Arabidopsis thaliana: one gene and its partners. The protein of the gene in region 1 interacts with the protein of each later gene in a pairwise test. Each region holds a gene or a part of one and is shown on either strand. Other genes may lie near its edges. The genes, in order: WRKY40, WRKY38 and GUN5.

Region 1 (4,617 bases):
TTTCAGATTTAAAGAAACTATCTGACCAAAATCCTGAGATATCTTAATTAGATATATCTATTTAAACTTTCAAGTTGTTATATGTTAAACAGTAAATGGCGTTTTCCGTATTACTCATCTAGTAGATCGTAGTAAGTTATATACGTTTTTACAATGAAAGGTTTCGGCAATGTAAGTTGTATACGTGGTACGAGTGAGTATCCATACTTCTACCGGAAAGAATAGAGATCAAGAAAAATGAATATAATTAATAAAGCTCTACCGAGGAAAAGAAGAGTGAAGGATAATGGAGAAAAATAAGAAAAAAGATGATGAGATCTGAATTAAGATTTTATTATTCACAATTACAAGAATAGGTACAGTCCTGGTTTGTGCTAAACCAAATTCGAATATCAAATATAAATTACTTATAGGTTCGACTGTAAAATGAGATATGAAAGAAAGAAATAATATATGATGATGTAATGCATGAGAAAGTCCAAAATGATCGGCATATGGGATTAAGCGATTCCATATAGTTAAGTCAAGTTACTATTTCAGATAAATGGATAAGTTTGTCGTCTATATGTTCTGTTATCTCCAAACCCAAATCTATAACATTGCGACATTTTTGAATCGTTAACGGCAAAATAAGTGGGGAGGGGGGGGGGAAGGAAAAAAGGAAGGACACTGAGATTTTGATAAAGTTCGGTAGCCAAATTTGTGCATGACTTTTAAGAAAATACGTATGCTGATCCAAAAACAAACAACTAAATAGATTTTAGTTTGAGAAAATCGAAGTAACAAAATTATTATTTAATATATAGTGTGAGAATTTAACAGCTACTAATAATTATCATAACACGAATTAAGTGTAATAGTAATATATGTAGGAAAATGGTTTAGCACCACTCACTTGATTAACTCGACTTAAACCAAATATAAAGTAATATTTATAGATGTAGTTGGTTGTATTTTTGCAAGCTTTGGTACTCGATATCTAAATTTTTAATGGAAAAATTAGTCGAGTGGTAATTCGTTATATATAAGAAAATATTTTGTTTGTAATTGTGCAAACTTTAGCATTGGACATCTAACTATATTCTGAAAAATCAGCGGAATGATAAAAGTTCGGATTTTCCTTCTTTTTATTTAAGTAAACATAATTGGTGTTCTGAAAACCAAAAGAAGGAAGAAGGCAATTAAGATTTGTTAAAGTTCGTCACGATATTGATGTCAAGAAAAAAGGAAAAAAAAAAAAAATCGTCACGATGGTATCGTCAATTTGTCTAGTGGATTTTGAAAAGCCGTGTGGGCTTGACTTTGACCGAACAAGGCACACGTATACATCTAGTACTACTGAAGAAATCTCTCATTAGAACGCAAACCACGTTCCGCACACTCTTAATATACTATTAGTCTATTACTATCACCAACTAGTTGTCATTTTTTTTGTCAAACGTGCTAATTAATTCACAAATAGAAGTATTAAACTTCCTAATTAAGCACGCCTTTACTACATTTCATTATTATTATACATGTAATCAACCATTTCTTTTATCCCACATGTCATTTGTAGTCCTGATTTTATGACTTTATGCATCAAGTTATCTTTTTTTTTGTCACTCCATGCATCAAGTTATCTAAACAACATAATTATTGTCTGAAAAATCTAAGATGATATACAACATATGTATTTAATTACACATTAGGCTTGTTTAACAATTCTTGATTATTTTTACTCTTTTTGGGTGAGTTCTTGATGGATGTCTTGAATTACAAAACTACATATTCTGAAAATATTAACCTTGAGTTTAGGCCGGCTATGCTATAACGAAAAATAAATAAAAGCAACTAACCCGACAGAAATGTCAACCAACTATCCAAAATGAAAAACAAACGTGGAGAGCGTCATATTATTAGTAGGCCAATCACACACCAAATGTTTGTTTAACAAAAAAAATAAGAATGTCAACCAACTATCCAAAATTAAAATCAAGAATACATTTCATATGTTTCCAATATGTTTTTCTTAAACAAAATTGGGACTAAAGATTGGACCAAATACGTGTGCGGGTGGACCCGATAGAAGCCGAGTTGAGTCTAAAGACTAAAAAGTAAACAAAAAATGATAAGACCATCACTTAGTTTATTGCATGAAAATGAAAAGCACATGCTCCTCTCTCTCTCTTCTGCCTCTTTCCATCTAGTTTCCTCTTAAAACTCCATTATATATAGAAACAAAATCTTTTCTCTCTTCAACAATCCCACCATTAAAAAAGAAGAACCCAAGATCGACTCTTACTTCGAATCTCTCTCAACTTTCTTCCTCAGCTTACGGGAACTTCCACACATATACATCCACAAGAACCCATATCGAAGATTCATCCTACATATATTTACATGGATCAGTACTCATCCTCTTTGGTCGATACTTCATTAGATCTCACTATTGGCGTTACTCGTATGCGAGTTGAAGAAGATCCACCGGTACGCTTCTCTCAGATTCTTCATTCTCCACATGTTCAGAAATTTTCAATTATCATGGAGCTTTTTAATCTAGTATCTCATCATTATGTATTATACACTTACATTTTTCAATTCGGTTGGTTTTGAAAATATATAAACTAACTCAACTATCCATAGACATTTTTTTCAGATGTATAATCTATAAACATAGATATTTTCTTATACTTCACAAATATTTTTATATATAATTGGCATAAACTTTAACAACAAGAAAAATTCGTTAGTAATTCATGTGGTGGGTTCTTGAAATATAGATGTAACGCTAGATCATAAAATCATATTAAACTTATAGTATGAAGAAAATAATATGGTTACTAACTTCATGCAATATATATATATATATATATATATATATAAATGATAAATTGCAGACAAGTGCTTTGGTGGAAGAATTAAACCGAGTTAGTGCTGAGAACAAGAAGCTCTCGGAGATGCTAACTTTGATGTGTGACAACTACAACGTCTTGAGGAAGCAACTTATGGAATATGTTAACAAGAGCAACATAACCGAGAGGGATCAAATCAGCCCTCCCAAGAAACGCAAATCCCCGGCGAGAGAGGACGCATTCAGCTGCGCGGTTATTGGCGGAGTGTCGGAGAGTAGCTCAACGGATCAAGATGAGTATTTGTGTAAGAAGCAGAGAGAAGAGACTGTCGTGAAGGAGAAAGTCTCAAGGGTCTATTACAAGACCGAAGCTTCTGACACTACCCTCGTAAGCATTCATGAAAATGATCAAACTTGGTATCTATCTATCTTTAGAAACTTTATTTTATATGGTTTACTGATTGTAGAAGTTGTTTCTTATAGGTTGTGAAAGATGGGTATCAATGGAGGAAATATGGACAGAAAGTGACTAGAGACAATCCATCTCCAAGAGCTTACTTCAAATGTGCTTGTGCTCCAAGCTGTTCTGTCAAAAAGAAGGTAATTGATAAAGAAAAAAAACTGACTCTCGCTTAAAATATGAATTGGCATAATACAAATTTGATAGACTTATTAATCTGATTTTGATCCTGTGTTTGTTTCTATTCAGGTTCAGAGAAGTGTGGAGGATCAGTCCGTGTTAGTTGCAACTTATGAGGGTGAACACAACCATCCAATGCCATCGCAGATCGATTCAAACAATGGCTTAAACCGCCACATCTCTCATGGTGGTTCAGCTTCAACACCCGTTGCAGCAAACAGAAGAAGTAGCTTGACTGTGCCGGTGACTACCGTAGATATGATTGAATCGAAGAAAGTGACGAGCCCAACGTCAAGAATCGATTTTCCCCAAGTTCAGAAACTTTTGGTGGAGCAAATGGCTTCTTCCTTAACCAAAGATCCTAACTTTACAGCAGCTTTAGCAGCAGCTGTTACCGGAAAATTGTATCAACAGAATCATACCGAGAAATAGTTTAGCTTCAAATTCCGTTAGAGTTTTTAGATTTGAATTTGTCATGAGTAAGAGAAAGAGAGTAGATTATAATCCATTGTGATACTGAAAATGTAACATGTAATCGTTTTTCATACAATCTCCAATACATTCGGCTTTAGAAACTCCTCCTAGTTTGACAACAACAACAAAAATATCTGTACAAATGCAAACACAGCACAACAGCATCCTAAGCAGCACAGAGTTAAAACTATTCTCTCTTGGTTTTTCTTTAATTACCAGTCTCGTCCTTTGTCATGCAGTCATGGTGTCTGAAGCAGCAAGTGAGATGGTCGTTTGTGAGACCAGCTGTTTGCATGAACGAGTAAATAACCGTTGGACTTACACTGCGAAAACCTCTGCGTACAAGATCTTTGCTTATCAACTCGGCTTTCGAAGTCTTCACAGGGACTTGACGTGGGTACCGGAATTGGCTCTGAGTAGGTTTCTGGTTAACGAAGTTCCAAATGTACTTGTCAAATGATCCAAATGCACCTATTATCTGCATTTGAGAAAACCAATAACAGTAAGAAAAAAAAAGGTAATGTTGTTAAGAAACACAGAAACTATGATCAGGCTTATAGGTGATATATTACCTTGCAAACTTGGTTAGCATTCTCGAGGATTGACCGTAGCTTTTGCTCTGATAGTAACGTGGTGGCAGCAATCTCAGGGGATGTTATCTTTTTATTTG
Region 2 (4,064 bases), on another chromosome or scaffold:
ATTTGCTAATAACAAGAACAAAATACATGTGGGCAACGTTTCACAGATCAGATCAAAGTCACGTGCGAAAGTTTATATATATATATATATATATATATATATATATATATATCTCTTATGTGTTGATATCTATCAATTTACATTAACCACCCGCAGAAGAAGATAGGGTTGTTAAATTGATGGGTAGATAGAACTTAACATTCTTTACAAACTTTGTAATTTGTTGTATAGTTTCATGAATGGTGTTAATTCATGGCCTGAAAATACCATCGATGTATACAATCTGATAAGGATAAATTGTTTTGGATTGACCATCTATTAGTTTTAAAATATGATTGTATAACTTGGATTGGTTAGCTTTCAGATTATACTATATATTCAAAACAAGCTTTTGTACGTATATTATATCATTTTATCCGCTTAAAATGTAATTACTAATTTTTCTTTCATATAAGATTCAAGTTTACCTAAAGAAAAAGGATTCAAGATTACCAGTTATCTTTTGCAAAGCTTATTAATTATAAATTCTTAAAATTTTAGATTAAATTAAAATATGGACCGAGTAGCCAACGAATGAATCTCACATCACGGCATAGTTGACTAGTTGTTGTTAGTATATAATATAATCAACATTGCTGCTTCGTTCTGACGTCAATCTGCTGAATCAGCCCCTTCAACAAAAACTACGTCATGGGGCTGACGTCGAGTGTCCGACGAAACTAATGCCGTTTTCATTGGTGCATTAGTCGCCACTCGCCAGCTACATCGCAATTATTTCTCTCTTTAAGCGTTGAAAAATTGTCTAGATCTTACTTGTTAATGTTATTCTATTACCTAATAATTATCTTTTGTCTGGTCTAAATACTTACATTTTTATTTAAAATCTGAACCAAAACTCACCAAAAAATTAGATAATTTTACCATTAAAGATATCCACGACTAGTGGAGTATTTTCATTACAAAAAAATGAATTGATCATATCATATGTGTTCGAAGCTTATTATATTGAGCAAAAAAACATTATTTGTACACGTTTCATCTTTGATGAGGTAAACATTGCGATGGACGTGTAAAATATGTTATACTTTTTTTTTTTGTGAACATCCAATCTATTACATACATTTGTTTTTTTTTGTCATATGAACGTAAAATATATTATTTTCAAAACTCTATATTATTAGTTACCGTATAAATTATAATTAAAACCACCTATCAAAATATTAAATAAAAAATATTTAACGATATACAATCAACAAAATTAAGCAAACAAATTTATTCTTAAATTTCATCTGCTATATATTTTCAAAAAAAAAATAAAAAAAATTGCGACACATATTGAAATGGAAAGATTACAAAAGAAAATTTTAAAATCATTGCTAATTTGGGGTTTATCATAGCTCATATCTCTCTCTAATATATCTGACTTTGTAGAACACAGTTTTCTATTAGATTCCTCCTATCTTGAAACCTTTTAGTGTTCTGAAAGGAGTAGTTTTTAATTTTTAATCTTTAATTATTAAGCGAACCGCGTAGATTAGTGTAATAAGAGAAACAGATAAATTCTGAAACAATTAAAAACAGATTGTATATAATTAAGTGAGCCGCGTACTGGGAAAGGTATATAAAATAAACTCTGTTTCCTATACATCATGACAGATCATATGCTAATGTCAACACCTAATCTATCTTTTTGTCTCTCTTTATTTAGATTCACGCATATAAGTCTAGCAGAGCACATGTCCTATATCGAAATTATAATTTATCATTGGCTTCTTAAAATATAACCTAGTGTATGTAAATTATATTTGGTAAACCCAAATTGGCAAAGTCATTTGGGAACGTGTATGTACGACTAGTCCTATAAATTCTGATCTCCCTATCCGTTCAAAAGTTTATAGCACAGAGAAGAGACTTGAGAAAAAGAAAACAAACAAGAAACACATACACACACACACAAGTTCACTATACTCTATGGAAATGAACTCCCCACACGAAAAGGCGGTGCAAGCTATCCGTTATGGCCATAGCTGCGCCATGCGGTTGAAGAGGCGGCTCAACCATCCAATGGCTGATGGTGGACCGCTTTCAAGTTATGATCTTGCTAAATCGATCGTTGAAAGTTTTTCCAATGCCATTTCAATCTTATCTGCTAAACCAGAAACCGAAGATGATCAGTTTTCTGATTTATCTTCTAGGGATTCTTCTCCTCCTCCACAGGGGAGCCCCTCCAAGAAAAGGTATACACTTATGAGTTTGTTTTCTTTTTTGAGTTTGTTTTTGTTTTTCCAAATGAAACCACAATTCTTAATATAAGTATTTTTTTTCTTAGGAGTATATGTTGATTTTAATGCTAATATTTTGATAATACTCATGTTTGCAGAAAGATTGATAGTACAAATTCAAGTGAGAATTGGAGGGACGATTCACCGGATCCGATTTACTACGACGGGTATCTTTGGAGGAAATATGGTCAAAAGAGTATAAAAAAATCTAATCACCAAAGGTAAGAAATAGTATAGCTAATCATATTTCATCATAATTATTTCTATCCCGATCACTCATACTAATTGGTGTATGATGATGGTAACAGGAGTTACTATAGATGTTCTTACAACAAAGATCATAACTGCGAAGCAAGAAAGCATGAACAAAAGATCAAAGACAATCCTCCGGTTTACCGAACCACTTACTTTGGCCACCACACTTGCAAAACCGAACATAATCTAGATGCCATTTTTATTGCCGGACAAGATCCCCTAGATGACTTTAAAAGTACCCAAATGATCCGATTCGGAAAAGATCAGGATCAGGAGAAGGAAAGCCGCTCGAACGGTTTCTCCTTATCGGTTAAGCATGAAGAAGATATCATCAAAGAGCAAGCTATAGATCAGTACCGTGAGATAACCAGTAATGACCAAGATTGTCAAGATGTTATAGAAGAATATCTATCATCACCATCAGGCTCTTATCCTCCTTCATCGTCATCTGGCAGTGAAAGTGCTGACTTTAATTCTGATTTGTTATTTGACAACCCAGACTCGTGGGATCGTTATGATCAGTTTTACTTTTGATTGCACTAGATTTTTCAGCTAAAACTATTTAATAATGTTTTCCTTTTTATGAGATTGTATATATTTGAGAATTGTGACTATTTAAGTATTTATGTTATTGATTAGATAATCCGAGAACAATATTTATATTCACCCCTAAGAGTTTATTTCCGGCCAATAAAACTCTATCATCTAATAAATAAATTAAAAATTCATTTGATTATAAAATATAAATTTCAACCACTTTTTGTGTAAACCTAAATCGATCTATAATCTCGTTTAATTATAAAATCTAAACTCTCATTCATCTTTAAAAGCTCAAAACCGACATTTTAACCTTGTTTAATTGTAAAATATAAATTCTAACCATTCTTTCTAATCCCAAACTCACATTTAACCTCGTTTAATTGTAAAATCTAAATATGTTTATAAACCAAACCCAACATTTAATTTGACCTCGTTTATTTACAAACTAAACCATAATTCTCCTTTACAAACTCATACCAACATTTAACCTCGTTTAGTTTTAACGTCTATAATCCTAACCATTTTTTCTAAACCCAAATTGATATATTTAACCTCGTTTAAAAATGTAAAATGTAAACCTTTTTATAAACTCATACCAACAATTAACCTCATCTAGTTGAAAAAAATCTAAACTCGTTTATAAACTCAAACCTATATTTTATCTTGTTTAATTATTAAATTTTAATCTTAACTATTTTCTTATAAACTCAAACTAATATATAACTGTTTTTGGTGGCAAATTAATTTTTATAATTTAATATTTTTAATTAAGTGGTATATTATGATTAGCAAAATAAAATAGGGTGAATAACAAAGTTTAAATTCCTGAGGGTGAACCGGATTTGAACCGAAGTATTTTTCATATTTGGAGCAGAAGTAGAATATGTAAAACCGGATTTGTTTGAGAAAATGTAATATTTACAAGGGTTTGATTTTTCTTGCTATTGGCCGAAGCACACACATCTTCTTGCGTTCGGTCTATTCAAA
Region 3 (7,935 bases), on another chromosome or scaffold:
TTATTTTTTCTTGAATTGTCCTATCCATTCCTATTTATACTCTGTCTTATATTTAGCTATTTTCATGTTTCCATATTATTTTATTTTCTGTCTTCTTGATACTAGTTTTAAACATTCCTATGTATTGTTTCTTGGAGTCCAGTTGTACAGCATTTTATTTATACTATATGGTCTATTCATATATGGCCAAGCAATTTCTTCTCTATGTCATTTAAATAAACTTTTCCAAGGATGTTTTGTTCCATATTGTTTGGTTTCAGAGGCTCAAAGACTTATTGACTTTCTTGAGCTTAAACCTTAGCAAACCAAGACTGAAGTAGTTTGATGCAAAACAGAGTCCAACACATGGAAATGAAACATAATATATGCAGAGAAAAGAACAGAGACTTTGATAGGAGAAAGGTGAGAAAGGAAGAGAGAACACACATAATATTTATGCTAAAGTCTGGGCCGAGTCACATCTCGGAATCCACTAGAATAAGCAAGTTACAAGAGGGAATTCCACAGAGAAAGAGTCTCACACTTGAGATCTCTTCTCTGTTACACTCTCAAGAGAAAAACCAAAGATTACACCTTTTTAATGGCTATCTCTCTCTCTTGCTTGCTTTCTACATTGTATCTCTCTCTTGCTCATTTCCCTTTGCCACGTTCACAGCATAGCTTCATCTTATATATACATGTGAGAACACCTTAGATCTAGTGCTTCTCCAAAACGCTCCACTTTGAATTCACATAAAGACAAATTGTCCTTTCTTGGCGCAAAAGCATGACTCAACCATAGTTTGTTTACACTTAACTATAGTTTCATTTTCTTCGCATATAAAATCCACACATATGAATATGATATAAGAAATGGAGATGAAAGAAGAAGCTCCACAACATTCATATAAAGTCAGAAAATGTCAGCCAAAACATTCTCTTATTCACAGAGAGATGATGTCGTTTGGTAGAATACTGTAATACACAAAAATAAAGTTTTAAGTTCATTTACAAGAAGAAAGGCTTATATCCCATTGTTTATCGATCGATCCCTTCGATCTTGTCTTCCACCTGCGAGTACAATTCCTTGAGCTTCTCTATGTTTTCAGCGGAAGTGTCCCAGTAGCCACGACCATTGGCCTCCAAGAAAGTCTGAAGCATTTTCCTGAAGGAGTTGGGATTGGTGTTCATGAGACGGTTCAGCATCTCCTCGTCTTGGATGAAAGTTGAGTTGGCCTCCTCGTAGACCCAATTGTCTACTTGACCTGACGTTGCACTCCATCCCACAGTGTTGGACAGTCTCTTCTCTATCTCACGAACTCCTTCATATCCACTTGACATCATTCCTTCGTACCACTTTGGATTCAGCAGCTTTGTTCTTGCGTCCAGCCTCACTGTCTCAGATAGTGTCCTCACCTGCCAGATTCAACAAATACCTTAAGGAATGTGTTCTTGCAAGGTAAAACTGATCCCATATATGAACTACAAAGAAAATTCACTCACCTGCGCGTTTGCAGTTGTAGTGTCAGCAATGTAAGAGCTTGGTTTCTTCTTATCCTTCCTCAAACTCTGAACTAGATTTGTAGGGTCAGAATCGAAGTAGTGGCTCACATCAGTCAAAGAAATCTCTGAAGAATCCAGGTTCTGGAAGGTGACTTCTGCAGTGCTAAGAGCCATCTCAAAGACCTGCTTCTTCTCAGCCATTCCTGCTCCAGGAGCATCACTATCAAACGCAAACGATTTGCGGCTCAAGTACATGTCCTGAAGCTGTTTCTCATCGTTCCATGACGAGTTTTCAACAGCAAGACTGATGTTGGCTGAGTATGACCCTGAAGCGTTTGAGAAAACTCTTGTCGCTGCCTCTCTAATATCAATGCCAAGCGCCTCTGCTTGTTCCAACGCGTGTTTCCTTACAAAATTTTGCTCTACAGGCTCATCTAGCTCCGCCACCATCTTGATAGCTCGGTCAAGAAGGTTCATCTGTCAAGATAATTCAAGGAAGAAACACCATGAGAGACCAACCAACAAGAATCTAAATGAAAGAAGAGAGAAAGCTTTTATCTGGTTACCTGGTTGATAAAGAGATCACGGAAGACCCCTGAGCAGTTAACAACTACATCGATCCTCGGCCTTCCTAGTTCTTCTAAGCTCACAGGCTCGACACGGTTCACTCTTCCAAAAGTATCAGCAATTGGTCTCACACCAATCATCCAAAGAACCTGCCCAAGAGACTCCCCATATGTTTTGATGTTGTCAGTTCCCCAAAGAACAAGCGCGATTGTCTCGGGATATTTCCCTTCGTTTTCGAGCTTCTGTCTCTCTACCAACCTCTCAACCACAATCTTGGCACTTGCCATTGCTGCTGTTGTGGGAATAGCCTGAGGATCTAAGGCATGGATGTTTTTACCGGTTGGTAAGACCTTTGGGTTTCTGATGGGATCACCTCCGGGGCCAGGCTCGACGTACTTGCCTTCCAAAGCTTGCATTAGACTCCCTAGTTCGTTGTCCATGACCACCAACTTCAGGCACTCTCCAAGGAAACCAAACACTGTTCTGAGCTTATCTCTGTTCGCCCTGTAGAACTTGGTGTTGGACAAATACTCAACCCATGGCTCATTGATTCCAAACCCAAGAAGCGAGGTAAGCTTGTCAGACACATCCACCACCTGTCCTTTGCTATTTGTTGTTTTTTCCACAAAGGCGGAAACAGCGCCACGTGAGGCATCAGTGATCTCTTTGAGAAGCTCTACATCGCTCAAGATACCCTTGTCGCTTCCTCTGTAAACATCCTCTATCTCCCTTCCAACACACTCAGCTAATATAGAAGGAAGAGCTGAAATCTCATCCTCCGGACGATCTAGAGCAGCAATGTTGACCAGTGTGGCCACAGCTTCCATGGCGGATGGAGGCTCTCCAATGACGTGAAGCCCGCACGGCAAAAGCCTTGATTCAATCTCCATAATCTTGGAATAAACTTTCCCAACCACAGAATCTCTGTCTTTAGGTGACAACTCCAAGCCTTCATCTGGAAGATCCACATCCTTATCAAGATTACATTGCTTAGCTGTGCTGATGATGGAACTGACGATCTGTGGACCTCTCCCCGTGTCCTTCAGAGACTGATAGGACGATATCAGCTCACTCAACTGCTTCAGCCCTTTGTATAGACCAGCATTCTCAGCTGGAGGAGTCAAATAACTGATGGTGTTGGCATAACTTCTCCTCTTTGCAATGGTAGCTTCAGAGGGATTGTTAGCTGCATAATAGTAGACATTGGGAATGTTCCCGATAAGACTGTCGGGAAAACAAGCATCACTCATTCCCACTTGCTTCCCGGGCATAAACTCGAGAGAACCATGTGTTCCAAAATGAAGAACAGCATCAGCTTTGAAGATCTTTTCTACATAAGAGTAGTAAGCAGCAAAACCGTGATGAGGACTTGCTGACTTGGAGAAAAGCAGCCTCATGGGATCACCTTCATACCCAAATGTTGGTTGCACTCCGATGAAAACATTACCGTACGCTTTTCCATAGACAAGAAGGTTCTCTCCATCTGAGTTAAGGTTCCCCGGAGGTTTCCCCCAGTTTTCTTCCAGGGCATTTGCATAAGGAGTGAGGTCTTGGTACTCACGGACTCCCATTTTGTAAGCTACATTGAGGTTAGGGCTGCTGAACTGAGCCTCCTTGTCATGAATGATTTCTTCAATAAGAGTCTCTGCATTCTCAGGAAGGCCTTCAACATTGTAGCCATCTCTCTTGAGGTCTCTTAACACCGAGAAGATGGAAGCAAACACATTGAGGTAAGCTGCAGTCCCTACATTACCTTTATCAGGTGGGAAACTGAAAACAGTGATTGCCAGCTTCTTCTCTGCCTGCAATGAGCCAGAGTTGATTCATGAGAACATACATTACATTCTTGAGAAAGTCATGAAGGAATGTGATTTCACTAAGGATGAGTGGTAATACAATACCTTAGTTTTTCTTTTGAGCTCACCCCATCGAATCGCTCTGATGCAGAGTTGCTCCACTCTCTTGTGGAGAGCATGTGACTTCCCTGCAGCAATTGGTAAACCACCTCCATAAGAAAACATTCCCACTCTTGCGTAATGACAATCATGAAAAATGCAATATGGTCATAAGTGGACTAACCTGTTCTAGGGTCACGACCAGCGAAAACGATTGGCTCCATCGCTCCATCAAGCTCAGGGAGGGCAACCTGCAGAGCCACCTGGATGGGATGCAGACCAAGTGTGCTGTTTAGCCATTCCTCTGTCGTCTGGAACACCAGTGGTACTGCCACAAGGTAAGGAACATCGAGCTTTTTCAGGGCTTCGATAGCCCTGGGATGATCCTGCCTTGCAGGTCCACCAACAAGAGCAAAACCAGTCAAGGAGACAGCAGAGTTTACGATGGGCTGTTTCGACACCGGGTCTACGAAATATTTCTCTACTGGACCAGAGAAATCCAACCCTCCTGCGAATATAGGAACGACCTTAGCACCTCTAGCCTCAAGCTCCATGATAACAGCCACATAGTGACTATCATCACCAGTCACAATGTGACTCCTCTGCAAGACTAAACCGACAACCGTTGCATCTTTCCTCTTGAGTGAGTCATTGGTGTCCCTTCTAGTGTCATACCAGTTCCAGTACTCCTTCACATCATCGTACATGGTTGGAGCAAGTGGATGCCAAATTCCAGTATCCAAGAACAAAACCGGATCCGAATACTCGATTTTGACACCTTTCAAAGCCGGAACATAAGATCCAGAAATCATCTTAACAAAATTCTGAAGATTATCAGGAGAGCCTCCAAGCCAAAACTGTAAACTCAAGATGTAGAGACGAGCATCTTGAGCCTTGTCACTAGGTAAGTACTTCAAAACCTTAGGCAAAGTCCTAACAAGCTTCAACATACTATCGGCAAAACCAGCAGAGCCTTGTTTCTTCCTCTTGAAGAGTTGGAAAAACGGAGACTTTGACTGACCCAATTGAGACATACTAAAAGATCCAAGCTTGTTCAGTCTCATTACCTCAGGCATTGAAGGGAAGACAAGAACTGCGTCCATCCTGTCTCTCTCCTTCTCCACCGCATCCTTAACTTTAATCGCCAATTCCTCGACGAAGATCAGAGAACCAATGAAGATGTTGGCGTCTTTAAGGTCTTCGCAGAAGTTGTTGTAAGTGTTCTTGTCTCTAAGCTCCTCGACCAAGTATCCAACCACTTCGTAGGATGCGAATCTCGAAGTCTTGTTGAGAGATTGCACGGCTTCACTGAGAGAAGACTGGTACTGAGCCTCGAGGACGACGTAGACGATTTTCACCGTCGGAACGTTGTCTCTCTTGATCGGAACTATACGACGGACCTCCGGGTTCGTCTGTGTGAAGAGGCCGTTTCCAGATACAGCAGATTTCACCTTGAAGAAAGATTTGGCTGGTTTGGTTGATCTGTGTTTCTTCCGGAGGAAAGAATGTTTGGTACTGTTAGTGAGCGAAGAGAGATGCTCTGCTTTAGAAGTGGATAGAGTGAATGGAGAATACACAAGCGAAGCCATTTTGCGGCTGCTGGATTCTCCAAACGTTGAATTCGAAGAGGAGAGGATAGGAGAAGAGATGAATCGTTTTTTGTTGGTTGTCTCTTACACTTTTTGAGCTCCAAGTGGGAGTTTATGATTCTCTCATCGGTAAACGCTTCGGACCAAGGAACTAAAAAAGAAGCGTTGGTTTTGAAGGTAAGTGGTGAGAGGGAAGGACACGTGGACGAATAGTTACGGAAGAAGGGAGAGTCTACTTGTGAGGTTGAGTTTTGTCGGATGTATATCCGCTTGGGACAATGAGATGGACTTTGCTGGCCTCTGATTGGCTCATTGAGATTTCTATTCATATTTTCATGGTTTGGGAGTGTGGATATTGAGTGTCTTATTTTCTTTACTTATTTGACAAGTATTTTTATGTTGCTCTCTTGAAGATCGTATTTGCGGTTTCAGCCATGTAAAAGATTCTTTTCCGATGACGACACTTTTACTAGGCATATTCGTCGGGTAGCCGGTTTAATCCGGTCTAGATTTTGTATAATTTTTGGTTCAGCTAGGTCTGGTTTGATATTTTTCTACTTATTTCTTAAAAACTGGCTTTAATCTTTTAAGGTAAACTCAGGATTTTTCTTTGAAAACGAAATTTGAAATATCAGACTCATAACAATTGTAACAACAAATGTAAAAGTTAAAACACTCTAAAATGTACTCAAAATTTTGATCATCATCATCACTATTTTTTTTATAATAAATGGATGTAAAAACTTATCATGTTTCAATATTTAAAACTTTTTTTTTTTTCAATATTTAAAACTTACATAAAATATATAATTAAAAGAAAGTTTATGAATTAGAATATTAAGTTATATGTAATTAAATGGAGCAATACATGTAGCCTACTAGTATTGTTGTTGCATGAGTTGCATCATATTCGAAGATATACAATATGTTTTTTTGATATAAGAGTACCGCTTCATTCTCTTTTTTTTTTTTGTCATTTCCCAAGTGTAATATTGTTATTAATACATGGGCTATACTAAAAGCCCCACGAAAAGTTTACTGAACTATTTGAGGCCCAACAAGAGCCTATCGGATTAACGCCTACTGCAGAAGAAAATCTGTCTGCACTCCACCCAAGAAAACGCAGACTAATTAATGAAATCAACGAAACGGATAGGTCGGGTCTAAGGTTGACCATGAACCGCAACCTGAACCAGGAGCAAAGTGGTCAAGTTTTGCCATCCGGTCCGAGTCCCTTGGAGGAATAATACCAGAACAGAAAAAAACAGAAAAGTCGACAATAAACAAAAGAGACAAATTTGATTTGATTGGTTCCAGAAATTCGCAGAGAAACAGCTCTTTGTCTCTCTCGACTGATCTAACAATCCCTAATCTGTGTTCTAAATTCCTGGACGAGATTTGACAAAGTCCGTATAGCTTAACCTGGTTTAATTTCAAGTGACAGATATGCCCCTTATTCATCGGAAAAAGCCGACGGAGAAACCATCGACGCCGCCATCTGAAGAGGTGGTGCACGATGAGGATTCGCAAAAGAAACCACACGAATCTTCCAAATCCCACCATAAGAAATCGAACGGAGGAGGGAAGTGGTCGTGCATCGATTCTTGTTGTTGGTTCATTGGGTGTGTGTGTGTAACCTGGTGGTTTCTTCTCTTCCTTTACAACGCAATGCCTGCGAGCTTCCCTCAGTATGTAACGGAGCGAATCACGGGTCCTTTGCCTGACCCGCCCGGTGTTAAGCTCAAAAAAGAAGGTCTTAAGGCGAAACATCCTGTTGTCTTCATTCCTGGGATTGTCACCGGTGGGCTCGAGCTTTGGGAAGGCAAACAATGCGCTGATGGTTTATTTAGAAAACGTTTGTGGGGTGGAACTTTTGGTGAAGTCTACAAAAGGTGAGCTCAACAATTCTCACTCTTCCTTTATATTGGGATTTGGATTGGATCTGATGAGATCACGCACTTGTTGCTTCTTCAACATCACTCAAACTTTAATTCCATGTTTGTCTGTCTTACTCTTTACTTTTTTTTTTTTTTGATGTGAAACGCTATTTTCTTAAGAGACTATTTCTGTATGTGTAAGGTAAGCGTTCCAAGGACGTAATTGGCTTGGACTATTTCTGTTTGATTGTTAACTTTAGGATATAAAATAGCTGCCTTGGAATTTCAAGTCATCTTATTGCCAAATCTGTTGCTAGACATGCCCTAGAGTCCGTTCATAACAAGTTACTTCCTTTACTGTCGTTGCGTGTAGATTTAGCTTTGTGTAGCGTATAATGAAGTAGTGTTTTATGTTTTGTTGGGAATAGAGAAGTTCTAACTACATCTGTGGAAAGTGTGTTCAGGCTGTGATAGAGGACTGTTGCTTTATTATTCAACTATGTATATGTGTAATTAAAGCTAGTT

Evidence for each region.
Region 2: the proteins of WRKY40 (region 1) and WRKY38 interact in binary tests that used the Arabidopsis thaliana proteins (3 or more experiments, as listed by UniProt).
Region 3: the proteins of WRKY40 (region 1) and GUN5 interact in a two-hybrid assay, tested with the Arabidopsis thaliana proteins (one study listed by BioGRID).

Annotation. Positions count from the first base shown.
Region 1 is NC_003070.9:30,381,452-30,386,068, forward strand, and holds WRKY40 (WRKY DNA-binding protein 40), read left to right. Parts: upstream 1-2,109; 5' UTR 2,110-2,382; coding exon 2,383-2,469; intron 2,470-2,879; coding exon 2,880-3,221; intron 3,222-3,316; coding exon 3,317-3,433; intron 3,434-3,542; coding exon 3,543-3,905; 3' UTR 3,906-4,048; downstream 4,049-4,617. Other genes in the region: AT1G80850 (DNA glycosylase superfamily protein), read right to left, coding at 4,156-4,425, 4,520-4,617. UniProt on the Arabidopsis thaliana protein: Transcription factor. Interacts specifically with the W box (5'-(T)TGAC[CT]-3'), a frequently occurring elicitor-responsive cis-acting element.
Region 2 is NC_003076.8:7,494,615-7,498,678, reverse strand, and holds WRKY38 (WRKY DNA-binding protein 38), read left to right. Parts: upstream 1-1,688; 5' UTR 1,689-1,971; coding exon 1,972-2,237; intron 2,238-2,380; coding exon 2,381-2,503; intron 2,504-2,590; coding exon 2,591-3,071; 3' UTR 3,072-3,224; downstream 3,225-4,064. UniProt on the Arabidopsis thaliana protein: Transcription factor. Interacts specifically with the W box (5'-(T)TGAC[CT]-3'), a frequently occurring elicitor-responsive cis-acting element.
Region 3 is NC_003076.8:4,386,550-4,394,484, forward strand, and holds GUN5 (magnesium-chelatase subunit chlH, chloroplast, putative / Mg-protoporphyrin IX chelatase, putative (CHLH)), read right to left. Parts: upstream 5,881-7,935; 5' UTR 5,534-5,880; coding exon 4,129-5,533; intron 4,034-4,128; coding exon 3,951-4,033; intron 3,852-3,950; coding exon 2,049-3,851; intron 1,960-2,048; coding exon 1,483-1,959; coding exon of another isoform or gene 1,479-1,482; intron 1,396-1,478; coding exon 1,018-1,395; 3' UTR 758-1,017; downstream 1-757. Other genes in the region: PDAT (phospholipid:diacylglycerol acyltransferase), read left to right, coding at 6,980-7,425.